2 linked regions of the Arabidopsis thaliana genome follow. The protein of the gene in region 1 interacts with the protein of each later gene in a pairwise test. Each region holds a gene or a part of one and is shown on either strand. Other genes may lie near its edges.

Region 1 (8,076 bases):
ACTCTAGTTTTGATGAGAGTTCTTGGTATCTTTCAACAACCAAACGAATAAGAATCCTTTATAGTGAAAGAAAAGAAAAATTGTATTAATGCTGAAGATTGTTGTATTAATCCCATGAACACTTATTAACGAAATCCATCTGAAACAGTAGAACTTCATAACCATATATTAGCACAAAGACAAATATCTGATAAAAATCAAAGTGAAACCTGGAAAGGGAAGCAGAGTCTTTGTTCTTCACCGTGCAAGGATGAAAGAAGACCTGCAAAAAAAAAATTCCCAATTCAAGAAAACACAAAACTTCAAGTAAATTCTCAATAACAAAATTAAACAATTACTTCTTTTCAAAATGTGTATTTTGATTGCTCTAAATAGATCTTGACTTTGGACTCGAATGGCTGCATCAAAGTAAAATGAAATGTGAAAAGTGAAGCAAACCAATGGGTGTTTGATCAGTACAGTACTCAAACAAAATATTTGTTTTTGAGAGACTAATATAATCTTCTACGTCTGAAGAAGAGAAGAGAAAGTAAGTCGAAAGACTAAGCATAAAAGAAATAAGAAAGATTGAAGAAACATACGCAAATATGACGCACGACCATTTTAATGCTCCATTGCGATAGATCTGAAATAAGCAGAATGGTGTATCCATATAAGAGAGGCACGCCGAGACATTATTTGCGTCCGATTTGAGAAGACAACAAAAACTAGTAGAACATACTATATAAGTTCCAAACCATAGAAAGAAACCAAGACCTGAATATGATTTTATTGAATTATCATGCAAAAGCTTTACTTCCACAAATCTGAATCTTGCTTAGCTTTTGGTTTTTCTCTAGAACTTGATCTCTCACATTTTTTCACAGCTACGGATTGCGGTGCTTTAAGCTAACAAAATCCAAAACGGTTTACAAATAACAGTGTTCCATCAGTGCAAATGTATACAAGACCAGCAATACATACATAACCAAAGGCAAATTGTCCGATCCAATAGAATTATCTTGAGATTTGGAAATGGCAACTTACAAGTAGGAGTTCGTGGCTAGTTGATATTCTTGTTTTACTCTATCGTGCAAGTTCTTCCAGCAACTTATGCCACTGCTTATACCACAGACAAATAAACCTTTCTCTAGCTTATTTCGATTAATATAATTGTATATTGATTCAAGATAAGTTAAAATAGTTATTCCTTATCTGATTCACACGATATTCAGCCTTACAACCTTGTGTTAGAGAATCCAAGAATGTGGTTGCAAGTAAACACCAAGCTCTCAAACGGTTTGAGTCAAACCCTGAACAATTAAAACTACTAAAAAACAAAATTAGAAACAAAGAGAGAAAGTTAAAGGGAAAAGTACCCTTTGAGAGTCTCCATCTGTAGAATTTCAAATAGTAACCTAGTACTATCTAAAGCAAAGTACACATTTTAGTGGAAAATAAACTGAGATAAGAATATGCCAAGCGATAAGGATAGAAAGTAAGAATTTTAAAACAAGTTCAGTAGTTAAGGAAGAAATACAGTAAAGAAACAGGAAAAGCAAGTTAACCAAAGAATTAAGTAAAAAAAGACAGTATGTAAGAAATCAAGCATGTAAGCAATGAAACAAGGAAGCCAATTAACCAAGGAATTAAGGAAGAAAATACAAAGGCAAGCAAGTAAGCAAAAGAGTCAAGGAAGCAAGAAAGGAAACAAACAACCCAAGAAGCTGGTAATTAAGCAAGGAAGAAAAAATAAAAGAAGAAAGCAATCAAGTAAGGAATGAAAGCAGAAAATATGTAAGCGAAAGGATCAGAAAATGAATCAAGGATGCAAGTGAGAAGAAATTATAAATGTGTACAAGCAAATATGATGCATAGATGTATGCATGTAACAAGTACGTAAAGACATAATCAAAGAAACAGAGAAGAAATTATGAATGTGCACAAGCAAATATGATGCATAGAAGTATGCGTGTAACAAGTACGTAAAGACAGAATCAAAGAAAAAAATAAGGAATCGAGTTAGCACACAAGTAACCAAAGAAGGAAGCTGATTAGTAAGCAAGGAATGAAGAAGAAAAAAAAGTAGCAAACAAGCAAAGTATTTAAGTAAGTAAACAGAGTATCAGACAGAGAATCAAAGAAGCAATTATGAGGGTGCAAGGGAAGCAAGTACGCAACTAATCCATGTATGCATGTATGTATGAATGCATGGATGCATGAATGCAAGCATGTATGAATGCATGGCGTGTATGTATGAATGCATGAATGTATGAATGCATGGCGTGTATGTATGAATGCATGGATGCATGAATGCATGGATGCATGAATGCAAGCATGTATGAATGCATGAATGTATGAATGCATGAATGTATTAATGCATGGCGTGTATGTATATATGAATGTATGAATGCATGGCGTGTATGTATGTATGAATGTATGAATGCCGGCGTGTATACGAATAAGTGCCTGTAAGTATACACATTCTTCAATTGATTTGCGAATCCAGAATTCTCTGTTTTCTGAGTTCTAAGAAACGCCACATTCTAGGCTCTGGACTTTGCACCTGAAGAAGAAACGTGACTTAACATCATATTCAAAGACCAATATCAAAAGATCAAGGAGGAGAAAAAGATTGAATAGATCAAATATTTGAACAAAACCAAAGGCACTTTGTGTTTGTTAACATAACTAAGATTAGAGCCGCTTCCTTGGTTAACTATGATGAACCATCATCTTCTTCTTGTTCTCAGGCAAAACGATCTGTAAAAAATAGAAAAGTAAACCAAAAGAATCAGACCAAGAACCAAACCGGAAACACAGTGATGCAGAACAAAATCTATACCAGATACAGAGCATCACAACACCACTTGATCTTTGATTCCCATTCACAAAATCTAAACCTAATACAGATATCCCAATCTCGCGATCGTTTACAAAACCAAATCAAACGAATCACAAAACTATCGTAGATGGTATTGAGGAGGAAATAACAAAATTGATCGAGACAAATCAAACCCCAAAAGATTAACACACCGATGGAACAAATTAAGTAACATAAACAAAGAACGAGAGGTGTTGTAACAGTAATCGAATCAACTAATCAAGTAACAGAGAAACACAATTCATAAACAGATCATCGGAATTGAGAATTCATAATCATCGGAATTGCCTCAAAGAAACCCTAAATTCGAGAGTTTGATAACTAACCAGATAATCGATATACCTAGACGAAGTGAGAGATCGTCATTTCTGGATCATGATCGTCGCCGACAATTCGTCGGTGAACCAAGCAAGATCGCCGGAGAAAAAAAAACTTCTCCAGACATTTTGCAAAAAAAATTAAAATTTAGGGATTTCTAAAAAGTGAGAGATATCATAGAGAGATTTGTAGAGGTTTTTCTTCTTCTTCAAACGGTCTAACTCCAATTTTTTCCGCTATATAGAAAAATTCAAAATTTGAAAAATCAAGATTCCAAGACTAAGACATGTTTCGAAAAAAAGAAATTGAAATTCCAGCTGTGACACGTCATGATTATCATGTGCAACAAGTTTGAGCTTAACCGGGATTTTAACATTTTGGTTTAGTGTGAAGGCCTGAATGTTTTTGGTTAAAGCCTAACCACTGTGATCTCATGAACATATTTAGATTCGTTTGGTTTTGGTTTTAAAATGTGACATTAATTCTAAGTCCAACCCAATTAGATCGAAGCAATTATATGTTATCTTCCCAACCCAAACTACGTATTTTCAACTATACAATGAAAATTAAAAGTGACCAAATTAGGCGACACAGAAACGAACAGGTCCAATATATAATAGTTTGGGCCGCTGTAAAAATATACACGTTTGGGCCAAGCCTAGTAAAAAAAAACAAAAATTTGGCCTCTTAACTACCGATTCCAAAATTGAAATGTAGCGTTTTGATTATTCTTCTTTAAATTGTCAGGTTCTACGAAAACCCTAACCAGAGAAGCTTGCCAGCGGCTGAAGAGTTCCGACGAAAGCAGAGGAAGAAAAATATATCGGTTAACCGACCGAACCGAAACACTGGGTAACCAAACATAATTTACAAACCTTCCGATCGGTTTTCCTTTCCTAACCGAAGCAAAGCCCGGAACCAAAAATTTCGGTTCGGAGCGGTTCGGAATTATCGGTTCGAGTTTGTCTCGCAGGCCTACAAAAAAAACTCTATAAATATATGACATATCTAAGGGTTTCCTTAACCTAATTCATTAGCTTTTTCTCTTCACTCTGAACGTGAAAACAAACACAGAGAGTTTGTCTTCAAAATCAACAAGAAGATGACGACCATTCGATCTTCACCTTCTTCCTCTCGTTGTTCCAATTCGTCTTCCTCTTCTTCTTATTCACTCGCTTCCACAAGTTTGTCTAACAGACTTGAGACTATATTCAAGAAAGCTTCAGAGCTTTGCACTCTCTGTGATATCGAAGCCTGCGTCATCTATTACGGACCAGACGGAGAACTTAAAACATGGCCTAAGGAGCGAGAGAAAGTGCGAGACATTGCTCTGAGGTTTAATCAATTAAACGAAGCCTTGAGACACAAGAAAAGCGTTAATCTTCATGGGTTCCTGAACAAGAAGAAGAAGAACAAGGGTTTGAAGAATCCGAACAAGAAGAAGAAGACGAGTCTTAAGAACGTGAATGTTTTAAAGTATCCACTCGCTGATCATTACTCTCCCGACCAAGTTTCTCAATTGACTCAGTCCTTAGAACTCAATGTCTCTAAATTCCAAGAAAGGCTTCGATTTCTTGAGTCGCAGAAACAGAATGAGACAAAACCGGATCATCAGAGTTTAACATCAATATCTTCTCTGAACCAATCTTTGAACCCTAGCCAGTTCTCGCTGTTTATGTATAACCATGGATATAATACTCTGTCTCAGATCCCAGTCTCTGCATCAAATTTCAATCAGGATTATATCTCAGCGTTACTTGAACAATCTGAGTTGAAGAGTCAGATAATGAAGCAGGAGGTTTGTGGTTATGAGCAGAACATGTGCATGAGTAACCATGGAGATGCTACGCTCTCTCAAATCCCATTCTCTGCATCAAATTTCAATCAAGATTTTTCAGCCAACAACAACTTCCAACATTCTTTTGTCTCAAACACACAAGATTACTACTCTGTTCAAAAATCTGTGAATAACAACTATGGGTTGAAGAATCAGTTAATGAAGCACGATCTTTGTGGTTATGAGCACAACATGTGCATGAGTAACCATGGAGATGCTACCTTCTCTCAAATCCCACTCTCTGCATCAAATTTCAATCAAGATTTTTCAGTCTCAATACAAGAAGAATCTGGCTTGATGCAGCAGGAGCTTTGTGGTTATGATCAGAATCAGAACATGAGCATGGGTGACATCACAAACAACAATTTTCAAGTTACTTGCGCCTCAGTACTAGAATCTGTGAACAACTTTGGGTTGAATCAGTTGATGCACAAGGAGTTTTATGGTTGTCATCAAAACATGTCTATGGGTAACATCAATAACAACAGCTTTCAACATCCTTGGGTCTCAAACGCAGACCATACTCGGCGGTACAAGAATCTGTGAACAACTTTGGGTTGAATCAGTTAATGCATGCAGCATGAACTTTACGGTTACGGTTATGCAGACTTTTGTTAATTTCTTATGATTAATTTGATGTGTTGTTGTTGTTGTTGAAATGTATTCAGATCTACAGCTTGTTTACGGTTATTAGTTGGATAGTATTTAGCAGTACATGCACTTTCACTTTCCATAAAGGTCATTATTGTATCATGATTGATGCAGAGGATATCTACACCAGTATTCTTTCACTCTATAGTAGCTAGAAACAACAAGTACTACGTAGCTTATTAGTGTCTTTTAAAGTACATATATATAAATGTGATATGTTGGCTCACTTCACAATACCTCGCTTCTGTTCATTTCCCGTAAAATACTCTTCGATATAAGACATCTATCACCTACATGACTCCAAAAGAATCTCAAAACATCGTTATCACCAGCGTAAGAGGCACTGATAGATTTATAAAGTTTCAAGTTTACCATTAACCGTCGATTATACATTACATCGAACAAAGCAGAAGCTTCAGTGACCTTCCCTGTTCGCCAATATGCATACGCCATGGTCGTGAATATAACACTATCTCCCACTAAACCCTTCTTTTCCATTGATTCAAATAACACTTTGGCGTAATCCACCTGTTCTAACTTACAAATCCTTCTTATTAATCCTCTGTATAGAGCAACATCAGCACAAAGACCTCTTTTTTCAAACTCCTCTAGGAGTTTTGTGATTTCGTCTTGCTTGTTCTGGTTATAGAATCCATCCACGAGCCAAGAATAGGTCGCATATCCAGGAGAGAAGCCTTTCTCTATCATAGAGAACAGTTCCTCCTTTGCATTTTCCAGTTCCAACACTTTACAAAACCCATGAATCAATGCTTTGTATGAATACATATCCAGTTTTAGCCCTGATTCAATCATCTTCTTCTTGACCTTCACTGCAGATACCATGTCTTCGATTTTGCAATATGCGTTGATCAAAGTATTGCAGGTGATATTATCAGGTTCAATCTTTTTTCCACTCATCTCAGTCAAAAGCCGGTTAGCTTCTCTTATTCTTCCATCTTCACATAACTTACGCAAAATCGAATTATATGTCACAACTCCAGGAGAAAACCCTCTTGACTCCATTACCTCACGTAACCTCAAAGCTTCATCAATATCATTCATTCTACAATATCCATCAATCAAAGTAGTATAAGTAACATGATTCGCTGTAACATCGTCTTTAATCTCCCGAAACAGTCTTGTGGCCTCTCTCATTCTACCTTCTCTACTAAACCCATGTATGAATGAATTATAAGTGACAATATTAGGAGCAACACCACTTCTCTCCATCCTATCTTGCACAGATAAAGCCTCGAAATGCATACTCTTTTTGCAGTACACAGAGATCAACGTGTTATAGGTAAAGATATCAGGAAACACACCTTTTTCTTCCATCTCACTCAACAATTTCTCAGCTTTCTCGGGATCACCAGACTTAGAACAAGCATGAACCAATACATTATACACATGAATGTTAGCAACAACACCTAACTTAACCATCTTCTTGAATATCTTCCAAACAGTATCAGTCAATCTCTGCTTCACCAGACTATTTAGTAACACAGTACAAGCTTGCAAATGAGGCTTCAATCCACAACTCCTAATCTGCTCAAACACCACAATCGAATCGTTGATCATCCCGGCTTTAGCGTAATATATCATCAACCAGCTAAAGACGTGAGATACATCTTCTGGGTCTTCAGAAACACCACCAACTAAAGATCTCAAAACCAGAGGAGATGACAAAAGCTCTCTCTGAGCCAATTTATCGAGCAGTTGGTGTGCAGTTTTGAAATGCTTGTGTTTTGTGAGAATCAAAATCATTTTCCATGATGATTGTAAACTATGTTTGCTACTTGGTAAAGAATCGGTCCAGATAAAGAAACTCCATGAAAGAGAAGGTCCACCATAACCAGAAAACAGAGAAAGCTCAGAGATTACCTGAGTGGTTATCGCTGATTTCAATAACCCAGAATCAACTTTGTGTTTCAGAATATTTTTCCAGTTTCCTTTCAATACTGTTGCACAGATGCTTTGTGCAATCAAAGCTTCTCGATTTGCTGACAACAAATTCACCATTGTTGTTCCTCAAGTGTTGTAGGAGTAACAGAGAAGAGCAACGGCGATAAAGAGAAGGCCTAAACCGGTTTGAATTTCTCCAGTAGATGAACCAGACCAGATTATTTACCAATTAACCGATAAAGGACTGAATTCAAAACCGGAAGCGAATCGATTGTTTTGGAATATCCGGGAAACGGCCCGAGAGAAAATACGTAATAAATCGAACTGAACCCAATTTTAGACCGGTTTAGTCAAGAATACGTATATGTCCTCTCGTGTTGCTGATATTAACAACTTTACCCTTGTATCTGTTTCAGTCCAAAACCTCACAAAAAGCAAAAACCCTAATTTACATGGTCGTGGCCTGACTAATCCCTAATTTTTCCGAGAGCGTCGACGCCGACAA
Region 2 (7,611 bases), on another chromosome or scaffold:
CCTCTACCTCGGCCTCTTCCTCTTCTGCTGTATGCCAAGACCTTGGTATTTCCCGGGCTGCTACTTGCTGAGTTTGAGTTAGGTAGAGACTGGTCTCCTGGGAGCCACTCTTCTTCATGGGTGCTTGAACTGTTAGAGGCACTTGAGTGGCTGTCATTGCTTTCGTTATTAATTGCACCATCTGAGCCATTCCCTACTGTCATATCATCACCATGAATTTCAGCTATAGGCTGAGAAGCCTTGGTTTCTTCTGGTGGTGTGGGTTTTGGTTGACCTTCCATAACCGCTGGTGAACTGAAAAAGTAAGGCTTTGCTTAGGAGGAAATAATGTCATCATGTCAAACTAGCCAGACAAAGGAGTTGCTTTTCACCTAGGTGATGAAGATGGGAAACCGTTAGAAGTATGACGTGATGCGCCTATTTCATCAGCTTCTTTTGATGTTTCAAACACATCTTTAGGGATGCAAGAGTTCCCAGTAGGATCCAAAGTTGCCCCAAGAGCCAAGACAGCTGCATCAATAGGAGCGCAAGTAAATTAAGAGAACCCAACTAAAAATCAGAACCAAAGGAATTCAACATCCAATGTATACCATTTGTGGTGTTTCCGATAGTAGAAGTAGGTTGGATAAAATCGCCATCTTGATCATTGAAGTCATCTACAGCAGTTCCACTGTCGCATACAGTTGAAAAACTTCAGAAGATTGATATACTAAAAAACATATCTGTCAAAAAGAAACAAGGTACAATCTGTGTTGGAAGGATAAGCACAATAAAAAGAACCTTTGAGGAGCGGTATTCGTATCTTCAGATGGCTTGACTCCTTGTGTGGAGATAAATGTCTCCTCCAAACCAACTCCACCTAATCAGAACACATTAAATCCATGAGACAGAGTATAAAAAGCGAAGATGAGAGAGTGTATACAAATTAAGGATTAAGGGAGAAACTAACGAGATCTAGTGTGTAAAACTCCTGTTTCTTTGACGGCTTGATTAGCTTCCGTAGTCTTCACTCAAGTAAAACACACAAGGACACCAAAACAAGAAAGATTGGAACTGCAAGTTTTTTCTTGGTAATGAGAGACACATAGTGTAAAGAGTGCTTGATACCTGATTGTGCTCAGAGGTAGGTATGGCTGAATTTGGTAGAGCTCTGCTTTGTTCATTCCGTACAGCTGAAAGAACAGAAAAGAAGAGTTAATTTCAGTTTCAACTCATGTCTTACTGAAAAACTTCTTCCACGTGTGAATAAAGAAAGAAAAAAAACACCTCCATCAGCATTCAAAGACGAAGCATTTCCTTTGAGCATATCAGTCGCTAAAACATAGGGGCTGTATTTAGGTTCCAAAGAGGCTACACTACTGGGACTTTTAAGCATTTCCTCGGTTGCTTTAGCTCTGACTTTGCGAATTTCATCTTGAATATTCCATGACTGATTAGAACCGGACTTCCTTTTCAGCTGCATTTGGTAACCAATGTCAGAATGAATAAGGGTAAATTTGAGAGAGCCATTGAAAATACATATAACGGTATGCAACTTTTCTTTAGGAATAGCTGGAAATAGTGTCCCACAAATTCCTCGTGGTTATCTAACATAAACAATAGAAGTTAAGCAGAGAATTTTATCTCATAAACCAAGATGAAACGACTTCAGACTTTCAAACAACATTTGACCAAAAGAAAAGTATGCACTGCTGGAGAACTTAAAATTCTAACCTTGGATGAGGAAAAGTTTCCAGCGCTATAAGGAAGGGGTGTCCCTTGCACTCTTGCTGATGATGGTGATCGAAAATCTAAATTATTCGCAGCTGGAGATCCCCATGGCAGACGAGCTCGCATATAAGACTTGGCCACGTCCACAGGCGATCCAGCACCATCTTCAGTTGCCTGGAGATTTAAACTAATGGCTGAGATGGTGATCATCATTTAAAGTACAATGGAAAAAGAATACTGTGAAGCGAAGCTATCAGAAGTTGACCAAAATCATGTAAGTAAATGGTCTTCATAGTCAAAAGAAGAGCAACAATATGGATCTTTTGCATTTTAAGCGGACAAAAAGGTATTTCCCAATCAGGACATTTCAGAATTAACGTCACCAGATGGCCACACGCAGAATTCTGAACAACCTACTTTTGCAAGAGAGCTTTAAGTTGCTGATCACATGGATTGGCATATAACAATCAAATCATTTTACCCAAACAGAAGATGTCTCCTTCTATAATAATAATGGCTTAGAGCACGGAGACAAGATATCACAAAAAAGTTGATACCTGCAGGCTGCAGCAATTAGAACAGTTAAGAAGCAAGTTTCCAGAACTTACTTTATACTTTGAACTTGATCCTGATTTCTTCTCCTCCAACCATTTTCTTGCTTCCATGACAGCTGTATTGGACATTTCACCCACATTCACGTCTAGAAATAAAATAGAAAAGAAGACGTTATCACATAGACTAATCCGGTCTACTTGCACAGTCTACCATCAGTAACATACCGCTTGTCAATCCATAGTCATCATGACTCGTCTCAATAGCAGAGGGGACGCTGGGATGATCTACAACCCTAGCCTTGATGATATCTATTAACCTATCACCCTCTTCCCTGAAACAACATACACATGAATGAATAAGCAGGATACAAGATCAGCTTAGATTTGGTAACTACACACGTCTCAGAAAGATTCTTTAAGCTATGAGGTGTAAATAATAAGAATAGTCGAGGAGGCTGCTACTTATGATGTCCAAAAAGCCAGGCAGAGAAATACCTTGCAAATGTTTCTTGCAAGAGAAGCTGCTCAATTACACGCTTAGAACTGAGTCGTTGAATGCTTGGTTGCTGGGCACTCAGAAGGTCCTATTCACACAAGCACAAAAACTGAAATTATGCTTTTATAAAAAAAACTCTCAGTTGAAAACGTGTTAGCTTCACGAACTTTACTTCAAACAATTATCATAGGACTACAGTGGCATAGCAATCACCAAAACGAACAAGGTGGTTAGTACCTCTTCAGTAAAATCGGGATTGTTCTTCTCAACATCCTCATCACCATCAATATCTGCAAACAAAGAAGAAAACATATAAAAATCCATACATTAAAAGAATAAGACACAACAAAGCTGGTTGGTATTCTCAATCCCAGAACTACATTATATGAATAAAAATTAGAGCTTTAGAATTAGTATGAAGTTTATAGCTTAGAAGTAACCTAACTAAATAGAGTACAACAATGCTTAACTGCTCTTAAGTCCCACATATTAAAGGAAAGAGAAAATGGGAAAGCTTTAAGTCAAACTTCACATTTCAAACGAAACGGTAGCTTTCAGATTCGACCAGACAATAAACCAAAAATTCAAATTAATCCTATCTAAACTGAAATAAATGGTACAAACCTGAAGATGAATCCTCGTCCTCCTCCGAAGATGAGGAAGAGTCGGAGAAGACGACGGAAGAAATGAATTTTCCGGCGCCGGAAGCAATTACGCTGGCGGGTTTGTAAACGAGCCTGGAGATCCAACTAGGGTTTTGCTGAGGAGGATCTCGGGATCTCTGAACGGGGCGCTCACACGGCGTCCTGACAACAGCGGTGCGTCGTGGTCGAACAATTTTCCCACCGACTCGAGGCTGACCTGCTCCGGCGGCGTAACCGGAGACGGAATCCATGGTGAAAGTGAGAGGAGGAGGGAGAAGTTCGTTGTAGGAAATAATGAAAGTGTTGAGGAAAAATTGGTAATTTCTCGTTATTTGTCGTCTTCTTGTTTTTTTTTTTAATTGGGGGTGAATAGTTAGTTTCCTAAATTACAGGCCTGCGGTTAAAATTTCTTCCACTAATAAAATTAGGCAAAAACAAAACATTGCGATTAAAAAAAATTAATCGTAGTAAAATCATGTATTATATTCTTCTCTTTTCATATTTTGAACATATCACATGATGTTTAGATCTTATAAATGCAGTAATTTAATAGAGAGATTAGAATTTGGAAGAAAAAAAAGTTACATGATTAAACGAAGTAATTAATCAAGTTGTAAGTAGTTATTTTAAAAACAATATTAGAAAAATGTTTTTTGGTTACTCATACAGTAATACTTAATTCGTCAACTGTGTCAGTGTTACAAAAAGGCTAAAAGAATGGGCCAAATGGGCTACTCTTGTATCGGGTCAGGAACGGGTCAGTTCCAACCCGATCGGATCTAAAATGGGCGGGGCGCCTTCCTTTTCATTTTGATGGCAATCAATCATCATCAATCGACGCTTTTTTAGAGACAAACACGATCGCCGATCCATTTACGAGCCGTCGTTGCTCTACACATATCAACAACAAATCTTATCCTCCCAACTATCTTTTCTCTGATTTTCTTTTCTTCTCCAGTTTCCATTTCTAGAATCGATCGATATTGAAGGAGAGAAGATGCCTGGTTTAACATGTAACGCGTGTAACATGGAGTTCAAGGACGAAGAAGAACGTAACCTTCATTACAAATCCGATTGGCACCGCTACAATCTCAAGCGCAAGGTTTCATTTCTTCTGCTTTCTCTATCGAATTTGAACTCAAGCCTATCTGTTTCTCGGGAAAATCTTGCGTCGGTGATGAGATGAAAGTTTCTGAGAAACAGCTTTTCCATTTTGCTATCGAAATTGTTTAGTTAAGGTTATGGAATCGTAGAGTTTATATGAAAATTTGTTTTGAAGCTTATTCTACTAAGGAACAAGGATTTCAATAATCATAGATTTGGTTACTTCTAGGCATTTGAATCTTTGTATTTCTGTAATTTTTTATGTTAGGTGGCTGGAGTTCCTGGAGTTACAGAAGCCTTGTTTGAGGCTAGACAATCTGCTCTTGCTCAGGAGAAGAATAAATCAAATGAAGCACCTATGCTTTATACTTGTGCAATCTGTGCTAAAGGTTACAGGAGTTCCAAGGCTCATGAGCAGCATCTTCAGTCGCGTAGCCATGTTTTGCGGGTTTCACAAGGGACATCAATCAACGGAGAGGAGGATATAGCGATTATCAGGCAACTTCCTCGCCGTGTTCAACACAGGGGTTCCATTGATGATGATAGTGAAGATGAATGGGTGGAGGTTGATTCTGACGAGGAATTGGCTGCTGAAGAAGCCTCTGATTCTTTGTCTAAGTTGAATGTGAATGAGTCTGGATCTGCTGAAGATATGGATGATGATGGTGATGCAGATAAGTATGAGCTGGATCCAACCTGCTGTTTGATGTGTGACAAAAAACATAAGACCTTAGAGAGCTGTATGCTTCACATGCATAAGCATCATGGTTTCTTTATTCCCGATATTGAGTATCTCAAGGATCCTGAAGGGCTTCTCACTTACCTTGGTCTTAAGGTTTGGACTCATCAATTTACCATTCAGTGTTCGTTGTTGTCAAGCTTTGAAATTCTTACTCCTGTTTACTTATACATTGCTCATCATTTAGGTCAAGAGAGACTTCATGTGTCTGTACTGCAATGAGCTGTGCCGTCCATTCAGCAGCTTAGAAGCTGTAAGAAAACATATGGAAGCAAAGAGTCATTGCAAACTGCATTATGGTGATGGTGATGATGAAGAAGATGCTGAGCTAGAAGAGTTTTATGACTACAGCAGCAGGTTTCAACTCTCTTCTATCTCTGATTATTCTTGTTCTCGCCTGTATTCCTCGTTCTATGCCAAATCTTAATCCGCACCTTTCTTTGGAATATATGAATTGAGCAGCTATGTTGATGAAGCTGGAAAGCAAATTGTTGTATCTGGTGAAACAGACAATACTGTAGAACTCGTTGGTGGTTCTGAGCTCTTGATCACGGAGAAGTCCGAGAACACAACAACGTCTAAAACTCTCGGGTCCCGTGAATTCATGCGTTACTACAGACAGAAGCCACGCCCAACTTCTCAAGACAGCAACCAGATAATTGCCTCTTTATCTTCAAGGTTTGTTTTCTCCAAACCCGTTAATCATCCGAGTCTATCCAATCAGATAATCGGCAAGGTAAACTAAGGTTATTCCAACAAATGGTAAATTCTCAGGTACAAGAGCCTGGGTCTGAAGACAGTACCGTCGAAAGAGGAGACTTTGAGGATGAAAGTGCGCAAGGAGATGAGCAAGAGAGGCGAGACAATGCGTACCAAGATCGGAGTGAAGAGTAATGTCATAAGAAACTTGCCCAATAACGTCCCATATTAGTTTCTGTGTATGTGCCACTTGTTCTCAAGTGTTGGATTGTATGATGATTTCATGTACTTTTGAGTCTTTGACCAAGTTGTGTTGCTACTTGGTAATAAGAGTAAGCTTTAAAAAGAGTATGTTCACTGAAATAGAAATGTTAAAAATTAATACACGAACGTTGACTTCTGATTTACTCTCAATATCTACATTGTCCAGAGATGCATGTAAAACAAAGAAGAGACAACGACAAAAGGGTACTACAATATCCCAAAAAGGCTTTTTGTTTAGTTTTTGTACAAAGGCTGCGACTGCTGCGAGTAATGTCACAAGACAAACCTAAAATAAAATTTATGTGTAGAAACAAAAAGAAAAAGAAGAAAGAGGTCCAAAACCAAGAACACTGGCTACAAATAGGCTGGTCTGCATCATTTGCTTCGCTTCATTTTCCAGCTGACTGAGAAAGAACGAAAAGGAACATTACAGATTCACAAGAAGACAGTACCAAAAGCATAGAAACAGAAGGTTAATACCTAATTTTCATAGAAGCGGGTTCGACGCCTTCTTGAACTGTAAATCAGAGAAAACAAGGCATCAAGCAATGTCTCTTAAGTAACCATCATATATAGCACAAGAAAGCTACTAAACCAGGTCAACACCCCAAGCTATTATGCCAGAAATATCACACAATGGGGCCTGATTAGCTAATTTGTCATTCAAGAGGTGCCTAAAAACCAGGCTCACTGGTAAGCCTTTAATATCAATGCAGAATAATTATAAACTATGAAAGTAAGAATGTATATCTCTGCAGACAGCAACAATACAAAATTAGTGGTGTAAAGCTATAGATTATTCTGACCTTTGGTGCATAGAGCTACTTCTGTTAGCTCCACTTGTGCTGATGAACTCGTCATCGATCTCATCTACTCTATACTCCGGAAACTCTATGGATGCTACTGAGCTGTCATCAGAGTTGGAATTCTCATAGCTAGAGCGGCGACTCCCTCTCCTACTCTCACTCATTCTTGATCTTCTTCGATTCCTGGCATTCCTTATATTGTCAAACATTTGATAGAGAATACAAGATGTCCACCAGTTTCCTTCATTGTTGGGAACATCCTCAAATTCATCTCCTGTGTCATCATCTCCATATTCGATCACATAGTCCCCTAAAACCACTCCTCTTGGAACTTCTGAGTGAATTGTGCTCAACACGTCGATTATTTCAGACGACTGCTGGAAATTCTCCCAGTCAAGCTTCCGTGCTGGATCAATTTCTGAAGGACGAGAATCCGGATGCTCTGACTGAGCATGTTTGCGAAGCTCCAAGTAAGTACCCATAAACCTGCATCGTTCTTCCTCACAGCAACGTTTTTTCTCATCAAGACGAAGACGAGCTTCTTCTACAACAAGCCAGCCAGTAACTTCTCCTCTACACAGTGGACACACAGGTT

What was found. Proteins that work in one complex are often made in the same cells at the same time.
Region 2: the proteins of AGL77 (region 1) and AT4G31420 interact in a two-hybrid assay, tested with the Arabidopsis thaliana proteins (one large-scale study listed by BioGRID).

The regions. Positions count from the first base shown.
Region 1 is NC_003076.8:15,510,513-15,518,588, reverse strand, and holds AGL77 (AGAMOUS-like 77), read left to right. Parts: upstream 1-4,283; coding exon 4,284-5,564; 3' UTR 5,565-5,646; downstream 5,647-8,076. Other genes in the region: AT5G38730 (Tetratricopeptide repeat (TPR)-like superfamily protein), read right to left, coding at 5,898-7,688.
Region 2 is NC_003075.7:15,244,554-15,252,164, reverse strand, and holds AT4G31420 (Zinc finger protein 622), read left to right. Parts: upstream 1-4,106; 5' UTR 4,107-4,401; coding exon 4,402-4,506; intron 4,507-4,776; coding exon 4,777-5,343; intron 5,344-5,434; coding exon 5,435-5,604; intron 5,605-5,706; coding exon 5,707-5,925; intron 5,926-6,021; coding exon 6,022-6,178; 3' UTR 6,179-6,349; downstream 6,350-7,611. Other genes in the region: AT4G31430 (flocculation protein), read right to left, coding at 1-294, 372-510, 591-670, 781-859, 950-1,004, 1,108-1,172, 1,267-1,456, 1,714-1,884 and 5 more; AT4G31410 (E3 ubiquitin-protein ligase, putative (DUF1644)), read right to left, coding at 6,691-6,727, 7,017-7,611. UniProt on the Arabidopsis thaliana protein: Pre-60S-associated factor involved in the cytoplasmic maturation of the 60S subunit. Involved in the dissociation and recycling of other late pre-60S factors before newly synthesized large ribosomal subunits enter translation.